Linked DNA regions of Xenopus tropicalis. The protein of the gene in region 1 interacts with the protein of each later gene in a pairwise test. Links are inferred from orthologs where the notes say so. Each region holds a gene or a part of one and is shown on either strand. Other genes may lie near its edges. The genes, in order: phyh and pex7.

Region 1 (4,596 bases):
GCCCGCAACAAGGGAGATTTGTCACGGGCGACTAGTCTCCCCGTGTGCCAGAGCCCTAAGAGTAAGAAATCCAAGTCCAGCTTGGGACTCCTCCAGTGACATGGGAGTAGGAGAAACAATAGGTTGCCTGAACGCAGTTAAGTGTAGCGCTGGCTCCTTCTGAAAGCTCAGACTCAGGCATAATGCACTGAGATGGCTGCCTACACACCAATATTACAGCTAAAAAAATACATTTGTTGGCTCAAGAATACAATTTTAAATGGTAGAGTGAATTATTTGCTATGTAAACAGTATAATTTAGAAATAAAAAGTACACCATAAAAATCCTTTAAAGTGGATATAAAGTAAAAAATCATAATCCACGTGTGTTATTTAGACCAAAATTGCAATATAAACTTATAAAAACTCTTCCTGTAAACCTACACAGCCAATGACTGTCCTAATGTGAAAAAAGCAGACGACTGAGACTTGAAAAACAAAAAAAAACAAAACAAAAGCAGGTAATGTCCCATACCAGAAAAAACAAGCACGGGACTTAAGGTCCCCATACACGGGCCGATTGTAGCTGCCGATATCGGTCCCTTGGACCAATTCGTCAGCTTATCGGGCCGTGTTGAGGCAGCAACGAGGGGCCTGCCCGACCAATATCTGGCCTGAAATTGCCCAGATATGGATCAGCCAGGTTAGAAAATTCAGTCGGATCAGGGACCGCAGTGGCTCGTTGATGCGGTTCCCGAACCGACTGCCCCATTGCTGCCAATATAATTCGATCTAAGGGCTCTGGCACACAGGGAGATTAGTCACCCGCAACAAATCTCCCTTGTCACGGGCGACTAATCTCCCCGAGTTGCCACGACCCACCATCCCGCCGGCGGGATGGCACACGCGGCGGCGCGATTTCCCGAAAAAGACTTGCAAGTCTTTTTTGGCGATTTCGGGAAATCGCGCCGCCGCATGTGCCATCCCGCCGGCGACTTACATGTTCGCCGGTGGGATGGCGGGTCGTGGCAACTCGGGGAGATTAGTCGCCCGCGAACATGGAGTTTTGTCGCGGCCTACTAATTTCCCTGTGTGCCAGAGCCCTAATAAGAGCGAGGACGTCAGGCAAAGATAAGGAACAAAACAGTAGCAGAGTGGAACATGCCCACTCATCATACAACGGCACACACTGAGGAATACAGAGCTCCAGCTAGCTGTGATTTAACCCTGTTTTTTCCATCTGTTTTTTGGGGTTTTTTTTCTCTGATCAGAGAAACTGGCATAAATACAAATGCACAATATTTTTGCTCTGGCAGACGAGGAGCTAAACATAGCAAAACATACATGAAAAAGGTCATATTGCAGATACTTTTTTTCCATTAGCAAATTGTATTACGTCTCTTAAAGGGGTCCTCCATCTGAATACTGTTTTTTAAAAGTAAAAGAAATGTTATTATTTGCTAAAGGGGTGGTTCACCTTTAAGTTACATTTTAGTATGTTGTAGAATGCCCATTTTAAAGCAATTTTTCAGTTGGGCTTCATTTTTATTGATTTTGAATTATTTTCCTTCTCTTACCAGTTTTCAAATGGGGGTCATTGACCCCAGCAGCCAAAAAACTATTGTTATTGTTTCTCCTTAAAGGGCACCTATCACCCCTATATTTTTTCCCCCACCAGAGGTGGGGCTAATAGAGCCCGCACTTCAGATAGGGGAAACAATATTTTTTTTAAAAAAATCTGCCCCTGCCAGTGCTGCGCTACCTGCACCAGAAGGGAGCCCCTGGTGCAGGCAGCCATGTTGGGGCACATGCATGAGAATAATAAGTGATCTACCACGCGTTTACTATTCACATTCGCCTGACCTAGAAGCTGTGAATGTAAATCACCCTCCTACACAGAAAACTATTGTTTCTCCCAACCGGAGTGAAGGCTCTATTAGCCCGCAGCTCTGGTGGAGGAAACAATATAGGGGTGATAGGTGCCCTTTAATACTTATTTTTCTATTTAGGCTCTCTCCTAATTATACTCCAGTCTCTCTTTCAAACTACTCCATGGTTGCCAAGATAATTTAAACCCTAGCAACCAGATAGCTGCGGAACTTTCAAACTGGAGAGCTGTTGAACAATAAGAGAAATAATTAAAAAAAATGCAAAGAATAAAGCATGAAGACCAACTGCAAATTGTCTCAGTATAGCACTCTCTACATCACACTAAAAATTAACACAAAGTTGAGCATCTTTCAAGGTGTTTATCCTTTTCTGTTCTCCAGTTTTGACTACTAAAACAATGTGACAGGACATTTTAGAAGTCAGAACAAGGAACTCAGAGAATATAAACAAGTAGACATCTGAAGCTTTCAGAAGTAATTACATATACCTTTCAATTCAAAGCATTGTTATGGAAAGCTGTTTAGAATTACATTGTCTTTCATTTTTTCAAAAAATAAATGTTTGTTTATGTGAGAGTGCCTGCATGCTTTCTAGATAAACAACGTCAACAGAAATGCCCAAGTAGTCCAAATACCAAACCATAGTAGATTTACAGGTATTAGATACTTGACACTATTCAGATTACAGGGCATGGCTACGTGCATACCCTCCATAGTCCCCGGACCCCCATGACAGCTGGTAAGCACTGTCACACATAGGCCTGTCACTGGCCTCTCTCCATAACAAAGGATACGAGGTGGCGCTGCAGGACTGCGAGGCGGCCGGCGCTTCCCGGGACGAAACTGCGTCTGTAAGCCTGCATCTTCCTGAAAACAACGGCACAGATCACTCCTTCCTGAAAAGGATTAAGCCACTAGGCTGGTCAGACCTGTGCTAGTTACTTATGACACATTTGTCTTTCCTAAGCCCCTCCTATACAGTTCTCTTACTGCGCCGCCCACGACAGAGTCCTCAGTGCAAGGCAGTGAAAGAGACACAACGGCCTTTTGAACCATAGAATAATGCAGGAGTTTTATGGGAGGGGAGGGGGAAACCATTGGCAGCAGTTAGGCGCTAGCTGCGGTTAGCTAGTTCATTCTCCCTGAAGCTGTCCACTGTTAAACCTGGCTAAGTATATACTGTATAGCTTCTCTCACAAACGTGCTGTGCGTACGTGTGGTGTTACTGGATAGTTTGTAGTTAACTTTGAACCTCTGCACTCACCGTCACGTCCTAAGGCACAGCCCTGTGTGAGAGGGCATTGGCGGATTTTCCCTTCAAGTTATCAGAAATCTCCTTGTCCCTCCTGCACATTTTTCTAGATTTACTGTGGAAGACTGACAGCAAAGGTCAGTACAGTAGTGATTCCTTTGTAGTCTCTCAGTGTCGACCTCTTCACTTAGAAACAAGTCACTCGTTCCCTGCAAAAAGTAATCTGTGAGCTCCTTCTCCTGGGAACAGCCGTCCCCTCTTCCCCTGCAAATATTTTACTCCTGTCTCTTGCTGCCCTCATTTCTCTCAACTGGGCAAAAGTAAATCTGTTAAGATCCCTTATAGGAGAAAATGCGCGTAGTGTAAACTCACTTAACTAAAAAATCGGCGATGACTAATAAAATACCCTTAAAAACATCCATAGGGTCTTGGTTTGGTGAGGAAAATGTATTCAAAATGTGTGGAAGTCATGTTTTATATAATTTCACACACTTTAATATATATGTACCATACACCACTAAAAAAGTTTGTGATACAGCAGATTTCTAAGTTGGTGAATTGTTTAATTTAAAGGCCCACTGCATATAAATTTGTTTTGGGTTTTTTTTTGCCAGACATCTGCAGTTAACTAAAACACTCTGCCATGACTATACTAGAAAATCAATGTAAAAATACAAACAGCCAATTTGTCAGTTGTAATGTTGGGTGTGATTTCACTAACGGCATCTGATCTAAAGGTCCCCATACACGGGACGATTCTAGCTGCTGATATCGGTCCCTTAGACCGATTCGGCAGCTAATTGGCCCGTGTATGGGGACTACCAATGGGCCTGCCCAACCGATATCTGTTTTTTATAGAAACTCACGGGAGCACTTACCGAGCCAGCAGTGCGTGCTCGAACGTACAGCCGAAACCCAGACGGCAATTCAATCTGCGACTAAAAGTATCATGTACGGAGCAATATCAACACTGCTGTAAATCCTGAAATCGGGCAGATCTCGATCGGGCAGGTTAGAAAATCTAGTTGGATCGGGGACCTCATCGGCTCGTTGATGCGGTCCCTGAACCGACTGTCCCATTGCCGCCAATATAATTTGATCGTTTGGCTCCAGGGCCAAACGATCGAATTAGCCTACACGCTCCCCAATATCGCCCACCCGTAGGTGGGGATATTGGGTGAAGATCCACTCTCTTGGCGATCTCACCAAGCGAGCGAATCTTAACGTATATGGGCACCTTAAGGCTTAATGCAATGTTTGTTCTTCATTTTCTACAAAGATCTTACTGGTATGTCTCGGGTTAATGAAGTACTCTTTATCCATTTGCTATAGTGATCTTAAGGTGCCCATACACCTTCAGATCCGCTCGCTTGGCAATGTCGCTGGGGCCAAACGATCGAATTATAACGATGGGTATAGGAAAAGTTGGTCCGGGATCTGGCCGAGATCCGGCCGATTTCAGGTCAGATATCGGTC
Region 2 (4,358 bases), on another chromosome or scaffold:
CCTACCTTGCCTGTACAGGTGTGCCAAACCCTGACTGTCCTATGCGGCCTGTGTGTGCCATACTCGGGCTGCCCTACTTTTCCTGTGTGTGCCAAACTCTGCCTGTCCTATGCGGCCTGTGTGTGCCATACTCGGGCTGCCCTACCTTTCCTGTGTGTGCCAAACTCTGCCTGTACTATGCTGCCTGTGTGTGCCATACTCGGGCTGCCCTACCTTTCCTGTGTGTGCCAAACTCTGCCTGCCCTATGCTGCCTGTGGGAGGTGAACCTGGCAGGGGTTTGTTCTGGAAGTTTGTTAGCATTTGGGAATAGTCATTATATGGGCTCTTAGGTGCGTAAAATTATATGCTGGACCTTGCTGTGCTATCCATAGGGGGAAGGAGGCATATGGATTTAAGGGTATGTCTTAATATGATATAATATAATTCTGTCACATATGAATGAATGATGATATCCCTAATGTGAGTTCCAACCATTCAGGTTTTTGCTGCGCTACCACCATTAGTGTGGGTATGGTCTTAAAAACTCTTGCGAGAACATGGGTGTGGTCTGGAGTAGTTGCAGTTTAAAAAAGGGGAGTGGTTAAAACTGGCTTCTATTATCGTTCCTCCTCCCGAAAAGTTGTGGCCATCAGTACCACAGAAGTTGGACAGCACTGACTTATCGTTTTGTTTAGCAGGTCTTTAGTTTGAAATTTTAGTAGCTATGTGGTTGCCAGGGACCCTAGGATCCAGGCAGTTGTTTGAATGAGACACATGAAGATAAATAGGAGAGGGTCTACATAGAAAGAAGAAAAGACACCATTTGAAAGCTGAAAAAAGGCAGAAGAGGAATGCAAACAAAAAAACCAAGGCCATTTTTTCTCCTGTTATATCTACTACTACTATGAAAATGTCTGTCCTCACATAACATTAACACCATTGTATTAGACCCTCTTTCTTTCTCAAGCAATGAGATAACACTCATCTATGACCTTATTCTATCCCACTTAGACTACTCCAACCTACTGCTAACCAATCCATTCTCCTAGGGTGCTGCTTCTTACCTCTGGAATTGCATCCCTAAATTTCTACCTTTAAAGGGACAGTATACCCCTTGTTCAACATGAGTTTAGAGAATGGGGATTGTGCTGAACATGCTTTTGGCTATTATTTTTATTATAAATATCTATAATTGTTATATCTTTATATAAATAGGGCATATTTTGAAAGCAAAACTAAGTAACTTTCTGGTCCCAGTGAGGCAAAACAAATCAGCAGTCCATTAAAAAACCTCTATAAAAAAAAAAAGCATATAAAAAACATGCTGTAGTTGGGGGAAGGGGTTCATTTATACAAATGCGTTTCAGTGGGCAGCAAATATAGTTTGACTTATTGGGACCAGGAAGTAGAATATTAGTTGAGCTTAATTTCCAAATTTTACCATGTTTAGCTCAAGAACTAAATACCATAGCTTTTTTAAGCAACAGACAAAAAATATTTCAGTACCAACTCTATTCAATGAACCAATGTTATATAAGGAGGCATACAGATGCTTTAAGGGACACACACTCAGCCTCTTCAAAAAGTAACTCAAATGAGGTACTCGAGGTACCATTGAGAATGTTCTCTGTAGCTACATCTCGGTCTGGTTTAGAAACTGCATTGTTGCAGAACAAAAGTCCTTACAGCGAATAGTGAAAACAGTGGAAAGGATCAAAGGAGACCCTCTCTGACCCATCTCCCAACTCTACCAGAAACACACTATCTCCCTCTTGCCGTCTGGAAGAAGGTTCCGTAGCATTCAAACTAGAACTGCTAGACACTGCAAAAGCTTCTTCCAACAAGCAATTAGAGTTGTAAACTCAATACTGTTATAAAGAACTGCCTGTCAAAGTTCAGTCCATTGCTACATTGAACTTTTACAAATACCATTTAAACATATAAAATACCAATTGCACCTGTCAGTTTAAATCTGTCCTTGTACTATATGTTTTTTCATTATGTTGTTGTTATTCTTAAAGGAATGCACCATGGGGACCTGGAGAAACTTAATTTCCATAAGTTGTATATGGTTTGTATTGATAATAAATGAATCTTGAAAATGTTATCTTTTGGAGTAGTAGACCAATATGTGGTTCTATCTTGGCTCTTAAGGGCCAACAGCCAAACCTCTGTGCACAGCAGCATTCTGTTTATGCCTGTATGTTATCCACCCACTTCCAATTGTAAGCTCTATAGGGCAGGGTCCTTCTTACTCCTTTGTATCTAAGCTTGCAAGTAAGCAAGTATTTTTTTCTGTCTGTCTACATAATATTTATTGCAAAGTTTGTCTTCCTTCTTTGTACTTGTCACATACTGTTAAGTTTACCGCACTGCATTTAGTAGCAGCACTACATAGTAACATAGGTTGAAAAAAGACACACCTAAATGTAACCTGCCTAACTGGTAACGTTATAAATACCTTTTAATTATGTAATGCATTATTTATTGATATGCCCAGTTTATTTTTCATATCTTTCTTCATTTTGTGTCACAATAGAGCATACAATCTGAGTTCCCCATAAAACAACTGAAAATGTACCAGTTGTACTCTATTAAAATGGAAGGAGTAGAATAGCAAAAAAAAAATTCAATAAAAACAAATCAATTCCTGCAAGACCTCTTACTATACAAATTAAAAAAAACAGCCAGCCCAGTATTACAAATATTCCAGTTAAAAAAAAAAACATGAAATTAACTTTATTTCCGAAGAAATATATACACTTTTAGTCACCACCGTTGAGCCACAGCACTGAGTTAAAGTAAAGACGAGCAGATGCTTCACCTGATATGCCATAGTTTTGTGAGGTAGCGCATGCCAAAGTGGAGGGTTTGTAAGGCGAGAACTCCACCGCATAACCATGCCTGTCGGGAATGCGGACTGCATGGAGTCTTCCATCTCCCGAGACTGCCATTCCCTGAGTACGTAACCCACTAGACCTACCAACCCAAGCAGCCCGCAATTTTCAGCGGGAAGTGGCGTCACACCTGCTGGCACGTGACGCAGTTTCAGAACGCGAGGAAAGCGCGTAGTAAAATGAATGTTTTGCCCATGTTTCTAGAAAATAAGAGGATATATGGCGACTTCATAGGTTTACCGAGCGTTGCGCTGATCTTGAATAAGAGAATATCATCATATGTACGTGACGTTTTGGTACCAATAGCTTCTTGTTCCACCCCTTCCTGCTCAAAGTTTAGCCCAAAGGAGGAGAAAGAAGGCGATAGAAAATGGTGGCTACTGCGGTGTGTTGGGTCTTGTGAGCGGAGCTTGTCTTTTCAAGTACGTTGTTTCTTTACCGTAATTAGCTCAATATACAAGCTATTTAAGTCACTGCTAATTTTTGCCGATTTAATGTTTTACCGGTCTAATAAATGGGTACATTAGGTATTTTCTTAAGGCCCGCATTTTGAGATTTGCAATGATCAAATCGGAGGCTCCTGGAACGGAGCCATAAGTTATTCGCTACTCCATGCGGTGTACATAAACATCATTTTCTATTTTAGTTGTCTGGCGCACAAACAATGCACAACATGAGAAATTAGGTTCTGGCAGAGTCACGGATCTCCTATCCGTTTTGTTAGCTTAAATCCTGAGGGGTGTCTGGATGAGCTACTTTGTAACCTGGCAATTGTTTTCTTGACAGGCTGACCAGACAGGGCTCTGTTTACATCAGCAGGTAAGGTTAAGGGGTGTTACCATTACCACAACTTGCAGCTTATTAGAGCTCAGTTTACAAAGCTGGGGGGACATAAAAAGCCAGGAAGATAAAAATAAATATTTGCTTAATTGTTTGCTTAATTAACATGACTTAAACACAGGATTCTGCTTCAGGAGTTCTATATTTAAACTATATATTTAATATATATTCTATATTTAAACCCATGACAGCATCCCTTTACCTGTTGTAGAATATTTTTTTATTTCAACCCTTAAAGAGAAATTGACACCAGAAATGAAACCTTTTTACATCTATCAAAACATTATCTTTGCATGCGATTTAGAATTTAGCATTGAAAGTATTTGTCTGATGATTTTACATTAGGCATCTGATCTCCCATGTTCTTTTATGAGGGGGCTGCAAAATTTGTGCAGCAGCAGTAGTCCATTAGCATTAAAAACTATAACTGACAGATTGAGCAGGGACAGTCAGGTTTAGTAACTTTAAGTAACACTTACAAAAGCAGACCTATCAAAGAAAAATGATCAGTGTGACCTATAGGTAACTTTTTAATATTTTCAGTCTCACTATCACTTTAAGATGATAGTGCTGTTTATGTTGTTTTGCAGACCCTCATTTTTTTTATATTAGGGTGGAGGCACAAAGAGCTACTTAGTAAC

The links.
Region 2: the proteins of phyh (region 1) and pex7 interact in a two-hybrid assay, tested with the Homo sapiens proteins (2 studies listed by BioGRID, with this or other methods). The link is inferred for Xenopus tropicalis from reciprocal best matches to the Homo sapiens genes PHYH and PEX7.

What each region holds. Positions count from the first base shown.
Region 1 is NC_030679.2:81,828,065-81,832,660, reverse strand, and holds the start of phyh (phytanoyl-CoA dioxygenase, peroxisomal), read right to left. Parts: upstream 3,075-4,596; 5' UTR 2,732-3,074; coding exon 2,663-2,731; intron 1-2,662. UniProt on the Homo sapiens protein: Catalyzes the 2-hydroxylation of not only racemic phytanoyl-CoA and the isomers of 3-methylhexadecanoyl-CoA, but also a variety of other mono-branched 3-methylacyl-CoA esters (with a chain length of at least seven carbon atoms) and straight-chain acyl-CoA esters (with a chain length longer than four carbon atoms).
Region 2 is NC_030681.2:58,621,932-58,626,289, forward strand, and holds the start of pex7 (peroxisomal biogenesis factor 7), read right to left. Parts: upstream 3,011-4,358; 5' UTR 2,935-3,010; coding exon 2,805-2,934; intron 1-2,804. UniProt on the Homo sapiens protein: Receptor required for the peroxisomal import of proteins containing a C-terminal PTS2-type peroxisomal targeting signal. Specifically binds to cargo proteins containing a PTS2 peroxisomal targeting signal in the cytosol.